4 linked regions of the Schizosaccharomyces pombe genome follow. The gene in region 1 interacts genetically with each later gene. Each region holds a gene or a part of one and is shown on either strand. Other genes may lie near its edges.

Region 1 (4,294 bases):
TCGCAGTAGGCAAGAAAACGCTTTTTGTAGTGCAAAAAAAAAGATTTAAGCCGGAAACATAGCAGAATAGCAGAAATTTGATATTTACTGTTATCATCTCCATTATTATTTGGATTAGTTTTCGATTGTCCTTTCATTCATCTAATAACGCTTGTTTTTCTTTTTTCTTTTTTGCATTCTCAGTCTTGGTTGTTTTGCTATTTATTGCGTTCCTCGGTTTCTCCCTATTAAATATTTTCTTTTCATTGTTTTTACGGAAATTCTCATTTTTTCATCTTAGGGGCTCGTTGACTCAGCCTGCACGACAAGGAAAATTATATCCGTTTCGGAAGCACAACGTGTGTGTTGAAAGTCTTACTTTTCTTTTTTATTTTTCTGTACCCTTTCATTGAACTTTAGCCATTTGTTGCTTTGTTGAATTTTGGCCATAAATAGTTTTTCAACTGGGTTTTTATTCGACCTCCTTTCATTATTCATTTCATTTTCATATCTATCCATTTCTATCCCCACTAAACAATTTTGTGTTTTTAGGATTTCCCTATTCTCAATCCATAAAATAGTCACGATTCGTTTTCATTCAGATACCCGGCTCCTTATTTTTTTTTTTTTCGAAATTTTATTCACTCGTTTGATTTCGTTGATTCATTTCTTCCGCCTTTTACTCATTACTTAAGGGTATTTGCTTATTAAACGTTTGGTCTTTTTTTTTGCCCATCTTTTTGTTCATACAAAGTTTTGTGACATTTATATAATATTTAGTCTCTTCGTTTTTGTGTGGGTTACCTTTTTTGTTTTATTCTTTTTCTTTTTTTTTTCTCTTTCTTCCCTCTTTGTTTTTTCTTCTGACCCTATTTTATGCCTTATTATTATTTTGATCAAGTTTCAATCATTTTTTCACAAAGATTTCATATTCACTTTACTTCTTAGTTTTTTTCTTTTTATTTGAAATTTCTTGGAATCTTTTTGCCTTTTTTCTTTTAACTTGATCTCTCTTATTTAACGTTACTTAGAAAAGCTTCTTTTATTTTGCTTTTCCTTTCATTCTTCGCTCCTTTATAAACCGTGTTCATACTTCTTTTGCTTACGTTTTGCCAATCTTCCCAGCAATTTTACTTCTATCTTGATTGTTCTTGTTGTTGGATATTTACTCTTTGTTGATAGCGGTATATTTTATTTGCTTCTCACTTTTTGCCCGATTGCTTTCCTTTGATTTACCTCTCCAAAAAAAAACAAGTGTCTTTTGTTTACTTGTTTGTATATTTGTTTATACTCTGCTGATTGAAAAGTTGATTGTTTATTTTATTTTTCCATCTGCAACCATTTCTTTTTTTTTGAAAAAAAAAAAATCGCTAACTGATTTTTTTAAGCATTTCGAATACCTTCGAAGTCTTTTTATCGATACTTTTGACGATTTCTTCCTCATAAGCCTTGCCCTAGACTTTTTGTTAGCTCGGTATTTTTGCATATTTCAGTCATCTTTTTTTCATTTTCAGTTTGTGTTTTTTGCTTCACAGTTGTATCTGTCTCTCTTTTAGCAACTAGAATTATTTGTGGTGGTCAACAGTTTACCCTTTGCTCTCGTTTTCTTGAAGTTACAGTCTTTCTTTTATTATCTTCGTCCAGTATTCTAGGTTGTTGCCCTTCTAATTCTTTCGCGTCAAGTATTTGGATTTTTCTAATACTTGCTAACAATTTTTACTGAATTTTTTATTTTTCTTCATTGCCCTTGCTTATTTTTATTACTTACACACTTTCTTTTTAGTCGACCAACTAGGTTTCTAACTTTTTACTCCACTTATTAACTATTTCGTGTTATTAAGCTTGAAGCCTCATTTATTATCGTTTGGGGTTTATTTAACAACTACTGCTATTTCATTTGTGTTTTACTTTTAGGCATCTATTGCTTATTTTGGTTACTTTATCAACCACTTTGTCATTCTTTTTTCTCTTCTTTTCAATTACCATTATATATAATTTGCAAAATGTTTGTGGGATCACCGAGCGCTATTGAAAAGCCTTTATCGTTATCCAGTAAGACCAAAGTCGGGGACGAAACCGAGTTTACTGAAGATGCGCTACGTGGTTCATCGTTGGTTCCAACCGGTATTCTGAATGGAGATGATGAATGTCATGCTCTTCACATGTCTCCTCAGGCTATTCACAGCCAAGCTGGGAAAGCTGAATCTGACGGTTTACCTACTTATGCATCTGTGGAAAAATCCACAACTCCGATTGGTAGACTCCTCTCTAACCTCAACGGTGGATTAGCCTCTGCTCCTCCTAAGGTTGGATTCGGTTTTCCTAGATATTATGCTTTGCGGATTGAGGATTTACCTAGGGACTTAACACCCAGAGAGTTTTTATGTACCTTTTTATTCGCTACGAATGTAGTATCCGTCGAGCTTAATCCTGTATCCGTGGATAATGAAGTTGCTCATGGATTGGCGGTGTTTTCATCCCGAGATGCTGCTGCATCTGCTAGAGACACTTTGCTATCTAGCGATGTTTATTCCGCGTGCAGCATGATAATTTTAGACAATTATCGAAAGGGAAGTCAAACAAATCTTAGCGACGAAACTGAGGGCTCTGAGAGTAGTGTTTCATTTAACAGACTGTCTCGAAACCATTCTCCAACTCGTCCACTGTTAGGAAATCGTGATCTTTTCCGCAGGTCAAGTAATCATGTGTCAGCCAGTATGCCTACTGCAAATCATTCGGAATCTGCTTATCGTCATTCAAAAACACCTTTGGGTGATAGCACTTTTCAGGCTCCTAACAATGGAGGTAGTTTGCATTCCGATAGGTTGTGGTCTTCTTTCCCTGTTTCTTATCCTTTAACACTCGCGAATGTGTTAGCCAAGGATGAAGTTGGTTCACCTACGTGGTCACCCACTCCTTCCAAAAGTAGTACCAATTTGCGTCAAGACGGTGTTCCTCCGATTTTGCGATTTAACTCATTATCTATTAACACCAACGTGGCGCGCAATTACCTTTCATCTGAAAAGGGTTATAGCGCTCATACCCAAAATTCTAGTGCTCAATCACCCCATCCTCGTGTCTTTTCGGCAAACAGTGCATTCAGTACAACAAGCCCTCCTCCCTTGACACCATCAACATCAAGAGACTACCCATTTTCAGCTTCTACCATTTCACCTTCCACACCATTTTCGGCTTATTCCTCCAGTCATGGAATTCATCAACGCATCCCTGCTTCTACCCCCACGAATACCAACCCTGCTGATCAAAATCCTCCTTGTAACACCATTTATGTTGGAAATCTTCCTCCTTCTACTTCCGAGGAAGAGTTGAAAGTTTTGTTTTCCACTCAAGTTGGATACAAAAGACTTTGTTTCCGCACTAAAGGCAATGGCCCCATGTGTTTTGTTGAATTTGAAAACATTCCATACGCCATGGAAGCCTTGAAGAATTTACAAGGTGTTTGTCTTAGCAGTAGCATTAAAGGTGGTATTCGTTTGAGTTTTTCGAAGAACCCATTGGGAGTGCGCTCATCAAGTTCATCGCATAACAACCATAATGGAAACGTTCGTAACCTTCACTCTGGTTCCATGAATAATTACAATACAGACTCTTTGCTTAATCATACTGGTGGACATAACGAAGTCCACGCCAGTCCCAGTTGGGGTAATAATCTAATGTATGGCAAATAGCTCATCTAGCATTTTCTCGTCTTCATTTTATCATTATTCATCAATACCTTGCAAGGACTTTAGGTCCAAATTTTTTAAGCATATTGTTTCTCTTTTTTTTTTTTTGAGTTTTGCATATTGATTCTTTGTTAATCAAAAGTTGCGATCTATTCCACTTTGACTGCATGCAACTTTAACCATCTGTTAAGCTTAATTACAATTTGTCGATTTATGCGATCTGTTTTATTTCACTCTTATATAAGATGGGTACTTGCATTGTTTAGTTGTCATTAGGATTTATCATTTGCTCATCATTTCCATATACTTCTGCTACACATATCAATTTACATAATAATATCGACTTTTGCTTCTAAATGAACCCATCTTAAATTGCTAAACAAGTACTGTAACAACTTGGTTAGATGTATTTTTATTGTAACACCCAACTTAAGCTTACATACAAGAATTTTTAGGATACATTGATAAGCAAACACTTAATCCTTTTATAAATATTAGTATAGTCTAGGTGAATAAAATATTTCCAACAAAAACTGTATAATAGTAATCCCGTCCTTTCCCTATTAAGTTGAAATTGATTTACTTTTTTTAAAATTGCGAGGAACTTTAGGCATGCTTCGTCCTTTTCA
Region 2 (3,944 bases), on another chromosome or scaffold:
AGTTTTATGAGTCCTAAATCAGAAGTACGGATAAAAGTTTTCACAACTTTAATTTTTGGACAGCTTGATTACGGGAAGCTAACACTTCCTGCAAATGAGTACTTTGATACGATTGCAAGTAATTTAAACTCGCCGAATGCAGATGTTATGAAAGCAGCAGCTATTGCCTTAGGGTCGCTTACTAGTCAAAGTGAAAAATTCATAAAAGAATTATGTGCTTTATACGTCTCAGATGCTTATGATAAAGAACTTTTATTAATTTCCTTTTTAACTTTTCTTAAGAAATCAAAAATCGATTATGAAACAGCAGATAAAATATGGGATATCCTTTCTAAGGACATTGAAAACATTAAAGACTTTTCCACTTCTCCCTTCAGAACTCTTTTATCTGAATGTCTTGGTCTTTTAATTTGTAATGAATCTTCTAGCTTATATTATAAGCTAGAACTTTTATCCTCCAGTGAAGCTTCAAATCATATGCTTTTATCTCTTTCGGTGTTTCGTTTTTCGTTGACATTGGACTGTCCTAAACTGAAAGCTTATGAGAAACAATTTTTTGAAAAGGCGTATAAGCTATTTCAAAATCCAGACCTCGAAGTTAGTCAAGAAACGTTGCAGGTCATAATATCTGTGATAAAAAATAGGCGTTCTTGCATTGCAGACGTTTATAATGAACTTTTACAAGGCTTAATTTCCAAATCATCAGTTGATTCTAGTAACGTTCATGTTGTACAAATGGGCCCTTTCCAACATGTGGTTGATAATTCAATAAATCAACGGCAGCTAGTATTTGAAACACTTTATTCCTTACTGGATATCCCTGAATCTTTGAATCATTTAACCCATTTTTTACAGGTTTCTGTCATGGGGTTAGAAGATGAACATTATATTAAGCTAGTATCTTTGTCAATCTTGGAAAAACTTGTCGACTGCAGCCCTTCAATTATAGACGAGCAAGTAGACACTATTTTGGAAGCATTACGAAAAATTATAGAGCTTAGAAAAACTGAAAAGACTTTAAAGACAGATAGCGATAATATCCTTGATTTGGTTCGTTCTGCTTTGAGAGTTTTGTTTACAATGAAGTTGAAGTGCGACAATCCTGTAATTTCTGAATTCGAAAGTCAAGTTCAAAAGGGTCCTTACTCCTTGGAATATGAGGGAATAAAGAACGAAATCAAAACTACAATTAAAACTTGAATTTGAATATAATGTTGGAAATTCCCTTTGAATTTTTACTGGCATTTGATTACCTACAATATTTCAATGTTGAAACCTACAATGCGCTTCTCAACTGATATATTCATTAATTTCAGATGAATCCAGTTGACGCATTAAACAGTAAAAGCTAAGGTGTGCAAAATGAAACAGAAAAATAAATGCTGACCATATTTGTCATATTGTTAATTATGATAATGTTTAGAGGCATTTGGTTGACTTAATATATTAATTATTACTGGCTTGTTCTGGTCGTCAAGCATTTTAAAAATGACACTGCCATGTTAACGTTCAGTCTTAGTGTAACTTCTAATTATCAGTATATGAACAATTTTAGTACCTTTATCATATTATGGCTTCATAAACACCTGGCGGCTCGGTACCACAATCCCTGGTAAGAACCCGAATTCCGTTGCAATGCGAGTAAAACCCAGAAAAAATAGTCCCGAACAAACTTATGAGTACAAGAATTACGAATAATTCCAAGAGCAATTAACAACGCATCTCATTTGGCTCAATAATTAGCACAAACAGTTATGGAATTTTACATTATCGATAGCAAATAATCAAAACTACAATTTACTGTAAACCCACCAGTTATAATAACTAGCTTTTTTATAATTACTTATTATAAATAAAGATCTTTTCTCGTTTTAATTTACAAACTAATATATTACCAGCATTCTTTCCATTGCTTAAAAAAATATATGTACAAGTCAACGTAACACGACGTAGCAAGCTATGTCATAATACGCTATTCATAATAAGCCAATATATATATTATAACACGAACGAGGCTTCTTATCCTATGCAAAGGGAAATTGTTCATCTACTGCCGGGGTTCAAGCAGAGTAATATCAGAGGATAGGAGTTTTAAAGAATGGCAGATGCTAGAAAAAATAACGTCACGATAAAAGTCGGAATGATTGGAGATAGTTCAATTGGCAAAACATCTCTTATGGTAACTTATGTTCAGGGCTCATTTGATGAGGAAAGCACACAAACGCTTGGTAAATATTTACCTTTATTGGGAGATTTCTAACTTAACAAACTTAGGAGTGAATTTTATGGAGAAAACAATAAGCATTCGAAACACTGAAATTACCTTTTCAATTTGGGACCTTGGAGGTCAGCGAGAATTTGTAAACATGCTACCGATGGTTTGTAACGATGCCGTTGCAATTCTCTTTATGTTCGATCTTTCAAGGAAATCCACATTAAATTCTATCAAAGAATGGTATCGTCAAGCTCGCGGTTTCAATAAGGTATGAGTTCTTTCGTTCCGATATACGTTTATGCACGTCCGGGTTGTTTTGATTTTGTTTTTAGAACCGATAACCTCTGTTCGTGGCTAAACTTCATTAGATTACTTTTTATCGTACTCAGTATATCTCTAACTTAGTTACTAACGCTTTCAGACCGCTGTCCCTATATTGATTGGAACAAAATACGATCATTTCATGACATTTCCTCGTGAAGATCAAGAAGAGATTACCAAACAGGTACAAAAATTACTAGAAGTCGTATTATTAACTTGGTTAGGCACGTCGTTATGCAAAGGCCATGAAGGCAAGCTTGGTATTTTGTTCTACTTCACACTCTATTAATGTGCAAAAGGTATAATATCAGTTGATATACTATATTGACGATTTTTAGATATTCAAAATTGTTTTGGCTAAGGTGTTTGACTTAAAATGTACTATTCCTGAAATAAAAAACGTTGGAGATCCTATTTTGGAATACATCGATCGCTGATTTTTAATGCTTTACCATCTCTTTCTTTTTTTTTTTACTCTGATTTTACCCACACTCCTTTATCATGTTTATTTTCCCGAATTTTTGTGTCATTTAAGTATTGCTACCTTTTCCCTTGCTTTTGGTTTTAACGACATATTCATTTACTCAACTCTCTGTCAAAATATTTAATGAATTATAACCACGATCTCTGCAACTTTTGGTTTTTTGTTTGAACGAAATCTGTCTAATTAAAAGTGATCTTTACCAGTCTTTTGTTTTATCAAACTTTTAGTTGATATAGCTTTGCAGTTGAAAACAAGGTCTGAAATATCTTTGAATGTGGTATACTGTCCCTTTATGTACAAACATTATTTAAATTAATTTTTGATAGATTTTTATTCCAAAAAAATAACCCCTATATGTATTTCACAAATAAACCTGTTTTTCTAATTATATTTCTAAACGTTCAACTGTATATTTTCCAATAGCCATGTCAATTTCTTTACCACGGGCACGTTGGCTTTTACCTTTTCTTTTTTCGGAAAGAAAATCTTTTTTCAGTAAAGTCGCAAGATCACCCATGTCATCCACAATTGCTTTAGGTTGTGGATTGGCGTAGAACTGCACTCGTTCAGCATGTACGTCTTTTTTACGCTTAACAATTTCGGAAATTGCAGGGAGAACAAGCGACATAGCTGTTAAATTCGTTAGCTTTTCCTGTAAATCATTGTAGAGAATCCTCGCAGCCTCTAAGTTTTCAGAACTCGATGCAACGCCTCCAACACCCATTGCATCGAGAACAACAGACAAACAGTAAATGTACGTTTCCAAATTAAACTTAACAGATGCAAGGTTAGAGTCTACTACTAGGTTGCCCAAGGTTTTAAAGAGTGAATCAAAATCCTCGGGAACAAAAGCTAAAAGCAACGCTTCTCGGGATGTCGTGCTATCAAACAAAGATAACCTCGCTAAAGCACTTCTTAACAACT
Region 3 (5,329 bases), on another chromosome or scaffold:
CCTTATTTATCACCTTTTCTGCTGTTTTTACAGAAAATTGCGGAGATTAACTTTCTTTGTCTCGACTTTGAATTATCTCCTTGTGGGGATTTGGAATCTGTAGCTGCCTTTTCACCATGGGATGCATGTCGAGTAAATACGCTGATACATCAGGAGGAGAAGTCATTCAAAAGAAGCTTTCAGATACGCAAACCTCAAACAGCTCTACAACTGGAAGTCAAAACGCTCGAGTTCCAGTCCTTGAAAACTGGCTTAATATCGTCCTGCGTGGAAAACCACAAAATGTGGAAAGTTCTGGAGTACGCGTAAAAGGAAATTCTACTTCAGGTGGAAATGACATTAAAGTTTTGCTCTTAGGCGCCGGTGATAGTGGGAAAACGACCATTATGAAGCAGATGAGATTATTGTATAGCCCCGGTTTTAGTCAAGTAGTTAGAAAGCAGTATCGAGTGATGATTTTTGAAAATATCATCTCCTCTCTATGTCTTCTTCTTGAAGCTATGGATAATAGTAATGTCTCTTTACTTCCGGAAAATGAGAAGTATCGGGCAGTTATCCTAAGAAAACACACTTCTCAACCCAATGAGCCATTTTCTCCAGAAATATATGAAGCTGTTCATGCCTTGACATTGGATACCAAACTTCGTACGGTGCAAAGTTGTGGTACCAACCTCTCTTTGTTAGACAATTTTTATTACTATCAAGATCACATTGATCGAATTTTTGACCCACAATATATACCTTCTGATCAAGATATCCTTCACTGTCGTATCAAGACGACCGGTATATCAGAAGAAACATTTCTGTTAAATCGTCATCATTACCGATTTTTTGATGTAGGAGGACAGAGATCAGAGCGCAGAAAATGGATTCATTGCTTTGAAAATGTCACTGCATTGTTGTTTCTCGTTTCTTTGGCAGGTTACGATCAATGCCTTGTAGAGGACAATTCAGGAAATCAGATGCAGGAGGCGTTATTATTATGGGATTCCATATGTAACTCTAGCTGGTTTTCAGAATCAGCAATGATACTTTTTCTAAATAAACTTGATTTATTTAAAAGAAAGGTTCACATTTCCCCCATCCAGAAGCATTTTCCTGATTACCAAGAAGTTGGTTCAACACCAACATTCGTACAAACTCAATGCCCTCTTGCCGACAACGCAGTTCGAAGCGGTATGTATTACTTTTACTTAAAGTTTGAAAGTCTTAATCGCATCGCTTCTCGTAGTTGCTATTGCCATTTTACCACAGCTACAGACACTAGTTTGCTCCAAAGGGTAATGGTATCCGTTCAAGATACGATTATGTCCAACAATCTACAGTCACTTATGTTTTAGATGAATTTTTCCTTAACTATCTTCATAATCTTTTCTGTCTCATTTCTCTACTTTCATTCGCACTCTAGGAAAAGCCTCTATACTTTTCCGTGAATGGTGTCTCTAGTTAATTTCCTTGCATTTTGTATGCACTTCATGTGTTATTTCTCCATCGAAACTGTTAATTAGTGCATTCTAATTGTTTTATTTCATAGCTTCTTCGAAGCTTCGTGTAATCTTATATTGTTTTAAATAGCTCAAAATTAACTGCAGTTTTTGTTATTTGATAATTTTACGATTAATACATAACTATTGTTTAATTTAATATCTAAATTTTTTCATGTCAACCGTTTGAGACAAACTAAACCCATTGATATTAATATAATTAAATTAGGCGGATTTGATCGTAAACTAAATATAAATCTATAAGGACTCGATGTTGCTTGTTTTGTTATTTTAGGCCCCTTTTTCAAATATGGCTCCAATTCGCCTGTTAATATTCAATTGTATCCTATCTTAGCAAGCTGGTGTTTTCTCTCCCAAAACCTCAAGTTTTAGAAAATAGCAATTTAATGTAGCTGCTTCAACACTCCACCCTACTATTTATATCATTACTAAGAACGAATATAGAGTCTCTTTTTTATCTTTAACTAAACGAAGATTCAATTTACTTTTATTTATAATAAGGATTTTTATTGCCCGCTTGGCATGAGTAAATAATGATCCGGTATGGAAGATCTATTAAACAATGCTAAACAGCATTTGTGTATGAGGAATCCAAAGCTAATTCGAATTGGTTTGCGTCAAGTCGAATCTATTGTATATCATGTTGCGAAACCTAGTCATGATGATAAAATTCCAAGAGAAATTTTCCTAAAATTACAGGATTCACCATTGTATAATTCTACTACCCCTTGCATTTACGCTTTGGACAGTCTCCTTGAATATCAGCAGAATGAAGAGGCATACGAAAAAAACTTTCAATTCATTCAAAAGCTAATTGATGACTTACTGCATGTGATTGAAGGATTGGTTTTAATCCATCCAAAATCACAGACGTTATTTGAAGATAAAGCTACCTTAAGGTTATTTATTCATTTATTACAGCCATCTCAGCCATCTATGTTGCAAGTGGCTGCAATGAAAACGCTTGTATGTATCATGGCAGATCGTCCACTGGCTATTAGGCTTTTTGAGCAGATTAATGGCTTGCAGCAGATATGCGTAGTTTTTAAGCACAAACAAACAAGTCAGGACACCCGATTTCAAATTCTCGAATTTTTCTATTTCTATTTATCCCCTGAACCATATTCTATAGATGTCATTGCCTACAGGAAAACGCGGACTGAGAAACAAGCTTACCTATCCAAATATCTTTCTAACGTACAAGGGCTTCGAGATGATTTAGATAAGTTTCAACCATTTGGCAAGTTAGACGAAACATTCGACTAGTTAGATGCAATGCCTGGTGCAAAAAAATGTTTAAAGTCTCATTGTTAACTTATTTTTGAAAATTTAGTATTCATTTACTAAAGAATTTCTAATGTTAATGTTAAATTATTAATCGATCATCTTACTATTGAAAGTATTCCAGCATCCTATAGCATTTGTAAAAAGTCAACCAGTTTTACTTTCATACTACTAAGAGATCCCAAACCTCCAGAATCCAGCTAAACGAACTGTGAAGACCGACAAAGATTCCGTCCCAACATGTGATATCAACTAAACTGCGTCCCTCCCCAATATCGTCTCGACGACGCAAAAAACTGAAAGAAGGAAGTCTTTGTGTGTGGGCCAAAGATGACACATTTGCACCGATACTAGAGGATATCTCATACGAAGGAGCAGTTCCTATATTTGAAGAACCCGATAACGAAGAAATGTTAAAACTGGGGGATGCAAACGTTCCATTGCTAGAGGAGGCTGTTGTTTTTGAACGGGAGGAGGAGTAGTCATTCTTTGTATTGAAAGAAGAAATCCTTAGAAACTGGACTATATGAAGAAACTTTTCAGAAATAAAACTATATCGCAAAATCAAATCTAACTGATTTGGACAAGTAGCAATAATCGCATATCTTCGAAGTCCTCCCCGGGCAGAGGGATCTCTTAAAGAAAAAGACTGACTAATAACGTAACCGTTATCTTGGTCTCCAAAGAACAAAGGATTTGACATAGAATCGGAAGCTTCAGATAGTGTTGAATATTCACAGCTCAAGCAGCGAACCATTAATCGCTTAAGGGTAGAATATCGTTGCTGAGTATGTGGATGTTGACTAGACATGTATAAAACATCGGGGTTTGTACTTGAGTTTGTATAAAGTCGTGGTTGAACATCAGGTACAGAGAATTCAAGGGGTAAAACAGTACTACATGTAACACAAGATGATTTTCTCGAAATAGGGCTTTGATTTCGAGAGTATGAGTTATGAAATGAGTTTACTCGGGGGGATTCTGGTCCTTTCGATACCTTTTTACATAAATAATCTTCAGAATCAGCTTTGAAAAGTGATTCGGTAGAACTTTGTAAAGATTGAGAATCGGCATTGTTTCGATTATCGAGTTCATTTTTGAAGGCTTCTGGTGAATCATTACCATTCTCCGTTACGCCAATAGAGCGCTTAGATGTAGGATGCTCAAAAAATTTTGAAACGGTAGAGCGATGCAATTTTTGAGTGCAAAAAATAATGGAAGGCCCCTCGGCCTCACAGAAATGTCCAAGAGCAAAAACAACATCCATTATGACTATTATGGAAATTTGGTGAGATAAAAGTGTTTAGTTGACAAAGGCGATCTGAAAGCAAATGTTTAGAAAGCGACAATGAACTTGAAAAGTTTTGATGGTGTATAATAGCTTCTAAATAATGCCTTCAAATCTAATGATTAATAAGGTGATACGTTTTAAAGTCGATAAAATGTAAGATGTGCATTCGTTCGAAAACAACCTTTTGTACTTTACCGATTTACCAAGCAAACATTCAGTTATACTGAGGTATTTCGAAAAGATTGAGGATTAGAAAAAAAATGGATTAAAGAGCTTGAAACGCTCCAGATACTGAAATTGATATGAAAATTCCTGATAAATTAGAGGATATATGTGTGCGTCTTCATCTCACACAGTACCAAAATATAATAAACACACTAGAATCTGTCCAGTTTACATTAAAAGAATTAAAAAAAAAGTTTTTCTGTTTGGAAAAAGCGGTTGATTTTCTCACTTCAAGGAATAGAATGTTCAGAAGTTTATACCAAGTTCCACATTTCCGATATTGTAGGGGAATGCTGAAGAGTCGCAAATGAGGGAATTTACGAAAAGCTAGTAATTAAGAAACTTCAAAAATGAAAACGACCTTCATAGAAAACAAGTAAAAATGCGAGTGCGTTGAGAGGGGGAGGAAGAGGTTAAAAACTGACGAGCTACAAAAAAGCGTAAGGTATCAATTAGTGCCTCTACTGTTTCGATTACTAAATACAGCCACAAACTATTGATAGTAATGTATATAAGAATTGGTATATTAAATCGTGTAAAACACAATTGCAATATGCGCGCGACCGGGCAAATCCAAGTCAGCTAGCTACCTAAGTGATACCACCAACCAATGTTTGGGTACACCCCAACACTACAAGATATGCTAACGTTTTAATTAACACAAAAACAGATGTAATTTTATTTAAATTCTGTAGAATTATCATTATATAAACAAAAAGAATGCACCATTTCTATCTATAATGTGGAAGTCTTATTTTTAAAGACAGGAGCAGCATAAATTTCAGGAGGATCATCCTTGTTTTCCATAATATAATTTTCAATCTCTTCGAGCTTCCAAGCATATTTGGCACACAACATGTTACAATTAACGGCCACGGTAGGATTGTGTAAAGCATGTTGCAAAGCCATTCTTGCAACATGATAACGAGAGGTATTGTTACACATCATCATATTAAAAGGAGTGGTAGTAGTACCTTCCTCTCGATAGCCCTCCATAGTGACCCGTGTACCTTGTATGCGATCA
Region 4 (4,066 bases), on another chromosome or scaffold:
AAAAGTTGTTGAAGCGTCAGATGTGATTCTTTACGTTCTTGACGCTCGTGATCCTGAAGGGACTCGTTCAAAAGACGTTGAACGTCAAGTTTTAGCATCTTCTGCTGAAGAAAAGCGTCTTATTTTCGTTATCAACAAAATTGACTTAGTACCATCAGAAGTACTCAACAAGTGGGTTACCTATCTCCGCAATTTCTTTCCTACGATTCCTATGCGTTCCGCTTCAGGATCTGGAAACTCAAATTTAAAGCACCAGTCGGCTTCTGCTAGTTCCACTATCTCCAATCTTCTTAAATCACTCAAGTCTTACTCAGCCAAGAAGAAGCTTAAAAGCTCTCTTACAGTCGGTGTAATTGGATACCCCAACGTTGGTAAATCATCTGTTATTAACGCTCTTGTCAACCGTTCTGCGAATGGTCGTTCTGCACCTTGTCCTGCCGGAAACGTTGCCGGAATGACTACTTCTTTGCGAGAGGTGAAGCTAGATAACAAATTACGTTTGGTCGATAGTCCTGGTATTGTTTTTCCTTCTAGTGATTCTAAAGACGATTTGTATCGTCTTGTAATGCTTAATGCTGTTTCATCCACCAAAGTTGATGATCCCGTTGCCGTTGCTTCTTACATTTTGCAATTCCTTAGCAGAGTTCCAGGACAATTGGAAAGAATGTTTCAAAGATATGAGCTTCCTCCTCTATTGAATACATCCGATATAGACACTGCTACTGATTTTTTAGTCAATATTGCTCGTAAGCGTGGTCGTCTAGGTCGCGGTGGAATTCCAAATCTTAACGCTGCTGCCAATATTGTCATTAATGACTGGCATGCTGGTCGTATCGAATGGTGGGCCGAGCCTGAGGTTATAAACGAAAAGAACTCATCTGAAGTTCAGGATACTCAAATCGTTACTGAGTGGGCCAAAGAATTTGACCTTAATGATTTTTGAGAGTTTTCAACTTACGAAAAAAGCTATTGTTGCTTAGAGCTTATATTTTGGGATTTGGTTTTCGGTTGCGGTTTTTCTTCGGGTTTTAAAAATCTTTAGGTGTTGATGGTTACTAGCTATTACTTTTTGAATTAATATATAAATAATTTTTTTTGCATATATGCCGTATTCTTGAATGTGTTGTTTTACATTTACTTGTAAAAGTAATGTTTGATATGGGAGAAGTTTTAAGTAATAGGTTCGCTAATACGGGAAATTATTAAATCAATGCATGCTGGCTTAAATAAAGTCAATTGAATATGTACGGAAAATGACATTGATACTAACGTGCAGTTATAAGTTTCATTTCATTTTTATATCAATTGATAGGATAAACACAAACAATTCTAACCATACTATTTTGCGCTACTACTGAATATGGCATAATATCAAATTAATCTGTTTAGCAGTTAATAATTATGTATATAAACTAAAGAATAAATAAAGTTACATACATTACCAAAGAAAAGAAAAAAAGCTTGTATATAAAAGAAGTAAACTATTTAATAAGCAATGATTTAAGACTTGATTCTTTTCAATTAACAATCGGCTAATAAATACACAAAAATTTTTTTTAAAAGCCTACTAGTAAATAACTGCAATAAACTGTGTTTTTAGAATTTCTGAAACGTATAAAAACGATTTGGTACTTTTGGTATTCTCAATCCGTTCCTCCTAACGAAACTCACCTACCACCAAACTGATCATCAAAACAAACCACCATAAATTAGTCTAGATGCGTGAGATTGTACGAGCTATTTTAATATTCAAAGCTAATCAATAGGTTCATATTCAAGCTGGTCAATGCGGAAACCAAGTCGGTGCGGCCTTTTGGTAAGCAAAATCTACTTTGTTATAACGTTTCTCTCAACTAACGCTTGGAAGGTCTACCATTGCTGATGAGCATGGTTTGGATTCAGCTGGAATGTAGGTCTATTTTGCTTGTTTTTTTACTGACTTTTACGTAGATATCATGGAACTTCTGAGGCACAACACGAGCGATTGAACGTTTATTTTAACGAGGTAGGTTTTTTTGCTTTCTTACAAGTGTTCGGTTGCTTAAAACTTTTTGAAAAAATTTTTTTTTGTTTATTTAGTACTGACGACTGTAGGCCGCTGGTGGAAAGTATGTTCCCCGCGCAGTCCTTGTTGATTTAGAGCCCGGTACTATGGATGCCGTGAAGTCAGGAAAGTTTGGAAATCTTTTCCGCCCGGACAATATTATTTATGGACAATCTGGTGCCGGAAATATTTGGGCTAAAGGCCATTACACTGAAGGTGCTGAATTGGCCGATGCTGTTTTGGACGTTGTTCGCCGTGAAGCTGAAGCATGTGATGCTTTACAAGGTTTCCAATTAACTCACTCTTTGGGTGGTGGTACTGGATCTGGTATGGGTACTCTTTTACTTTCGAAGATTCGCGAGGAATATCCGGACCGTATGATGGCTACCTTCTCCGTTGCTCCTGCTCCTAAAAGCTCTGATACCGTTGTGGAACCTTACAATGCTACTCTTTCTATGCATCAATTGGTAGAGAACTCTGACGAAACATTTTGCATTGATAATGAGGCTCTTTCTTCAATTTTCGCTAACACGTTGAAAATCAAGAGTCCTTCATACGATGACTTGAACCATCTTGTCTCTGCTGTAATGGCTGGTGTAACCACATCTTTCCGATTCCCTGGTGAATTGAACTCTGACTTGCGTAAATTAGCTGTTAATATGGTTCCCTTCCCTCGTTTACACTTTTTCATGGTAGGATTTGCTCCTCTTGCCGCCATCGGTTCAAGCTCATTTCAAGCTGTTTCTGTGCCCGAGCTTACTCAACAAATGTTTGATGCTAATAATATGATGGTCGCCGCTGATCCTCGCCATGGCCGTTACTTAACAGTTGCCGCTCTTTTCCGTGGTAAAGTCTCAATGAAAGAAGTCGACGAGCAAATTCGCTCTGTTCAAACTAAGAATTCAGCATATTTCGTTGAGTGGATTCCCGATAATGGTATGTTTACTTGGTTTAAAACGTCGTTTGTATATTTAGTTTATTTTTTCTACTTGTTTATGCTCATCTGCTAACCTCGAAATAGTCCTCAAAGCTGTTTGTTCCGTTCCTCCTAAGGATCTCAAGATGTCTGCAACTTTTATTGGTAACAGTACTTCTATCCAAGAAATTTTCCGTCGTTTGGGTGATCAGTTTTCTGCAATGTTTAGAAGAAAAGCCTTTTTGCATTGGTATACTGGTGAAGGCATGGACGAAATGGAGTTTACTGAGGCTGAATCTAATATGAATGACTTGGTTAGCGAATATCAACAATACCAGGAGGCTGGTATCGATGAGGGTGATGAAGATTATGAAATTGAAGAAGAGAAGGAGCCTCTCGAGTATTAAACCCTTATAACCCTTTTTATAATCCAAGTGTGCCATATATTTTCAAATAGTGTTTATCTACGTTCCTTTTTTCCTACATTCATTGAAATGCTTTATTTTACTCCGATGCATATGGATTCCAAGCATCGTCTGTGCTAAACGCTCTTTACTTTTTTTCATAGCTTTGAAATGCTCCTTACACTCTAAATATAGCTTTAGCCTGGCTACCAAGGTGGAAATGTACTATAAACACGAGTAAGTCTGTAAAGTACTTTTGTAAGTCCAAACCGTACGAATTAAAGCTATTTACTATTCCCTAATATATGCTTAGATATTTGACTATTACAAAGTAAATGTATAAAGCAAGTCTAATACTTAAGTGTCAATTCCCAAAAGTAGAACCAAAAGATGCAGTGAGATTTGTAAATTCAATAAACTATTAATTTAGTTAAATTATCACCTACTGCTACGTATCGTATTTATGTTGCGTTTTGTGAAAGTAAACTCGTTTGATATACCAGTACTTATAAACGTCCACCAGTATAACAATCCGCCACTTTCTAAATTCGCCTTTGTCAACGACGAGAAATATTGAGTGGCTTCGAAAAGCCGAAATTGAAATTTACTCATATAAAAGTATATTAGGAACTTTATTTACTACATTGCAATCGCACCAAAACAATGTTTAATCGTAATTTACGTGCTGTCATTCTTAAAAAT

Evidence for each region.
Region 2: of scw1 (region 1) and spg1, a mutation in one rescues a mutant of the other (synthetic rescue), as found in Schizosaccharomyces pombe (2 studies listed by BioGRID).
Region 3: of scw1 (region 1) and cdc14, a mutation in one rescues a mutant of the other (synthetic rescue), as found in Schizosaccharomyces pombe (2 studies listed by BioGRID).
Region 4: of scw1 (region 1) and nda3, changing one suppresses a phenotype caused by changing the other (phenotypic suppression), as found in Schizosaccharomyces pombe (one study listed by BioGRID).

Annotation. Positions count from the first base shown.
Region 1 is NC_003421.2:671,494-675,787, forward strand, and holds scw1 (RNA-binding protein Scw1), read left to right. Parts: upstream 1-1,982; coding exon 1,983-3,668; 3' UTR 3,669-3,758; downstream 3,759-4,294. Other genes in the region: SPOM_SPCC16C4.21 (uncharacterized protein), read left to right, coding at 1-62; p21-activated protein kinase inhibitor Skb15, read right to left, coding at 4,272-4,294.
Region 2 is NC_003424.3:1,299,173-1,303,116, reverse strand, and holds spg1 (GTPase Spg1), read left to right. Parts: upstream 1-2,026; 5' UTR 2,027-2,098; coding exon 2,099-2,228; exon of another isoform or gene 2,229-2,274; coding exon 2,275-2,483; exon of another isoform or gene 2,484-2,636; coding exon 2,637-2,720; exon of another isoform or gene 2,721-2,760; coding exon 2,761-2,835; exon of another isoform or gene 2,836-2,874; coding exon 2,875-2,973; 3' UTR 2,974-3,405; downstream 3,406-3,944. Other genes in the region: knd1 (cullin-associated NEDD8-dissociated protein 1), read left to right, coding at 1-1,200; protein Utp8, read right to left, coding at 3,406-3,944. UniProt on the Schizosaccharomyces pombe protein: GTP-binding protein essential for the induction of septum formation at G2 and pre-START stages of mitosis. Acts via the cdc7 protein kinase pathway.
Region 3 is NC_003423.3:2,330,222-2,335,550, forward strand, and holds cdc14 (SIN component Cdc14), read left to right. Parts: upstream 1-1,904; 5' UTR 1,905-2,048; coding exon 2,049-2,771; 3' UTR 2,772-2,952; coding exon of another isoform or gene 2,953-4,056; 3' UTR 4,057-4,808; downstream 4,809-5,329. Other genes in the region: gpa1 (G-protein alpha subunit), read left to right, coding at 117-1,340; folliculin bhd1, read right to left, coding at 2,953-4,056; SPOM_SPBC24C6.09C (phosphoketolase family protein), read right to left, coding at 5,041-5,329. UniProt on the Schizosaccharomyces pombe protein: Has a role in the septation initiation network (SIN) required for cytokinesis.
Region 4 is NC_003423.3:3,963,577-3,967,642, reverse strand, and holds nda3 (tubulin beta Nda3), read left to right. Parts: upstream 1-1,669; 5' UTR 1,670-1,718; coding exon 1,719-1,730; intron 1,731-1,766; coding exon 1,767-1,816; intron 1,817-1,867; coding exon 1,868-1,909; intron 1,910-1,950; coding exon 1,951-2,005; intron 2,006-2,094; coding exon 2,095-2,980; intron 2,981-3,065; coding exon 3,066-3,367; 3' UTR 3,368-3,551; downstream 3,552-4,066. Other genes in the region: GTPase Grn1, read left to right, coding at 1-943; protein Sdh8, read left to right, coding at 4,028-4,066. UniProt on the Schizosaccharomyces pombe protein: Tubulin is the major constituent of microtubules, a cylinder consisting of laterally associated linear protofilaments composed of alpha- and beta-tubulin heterodimers.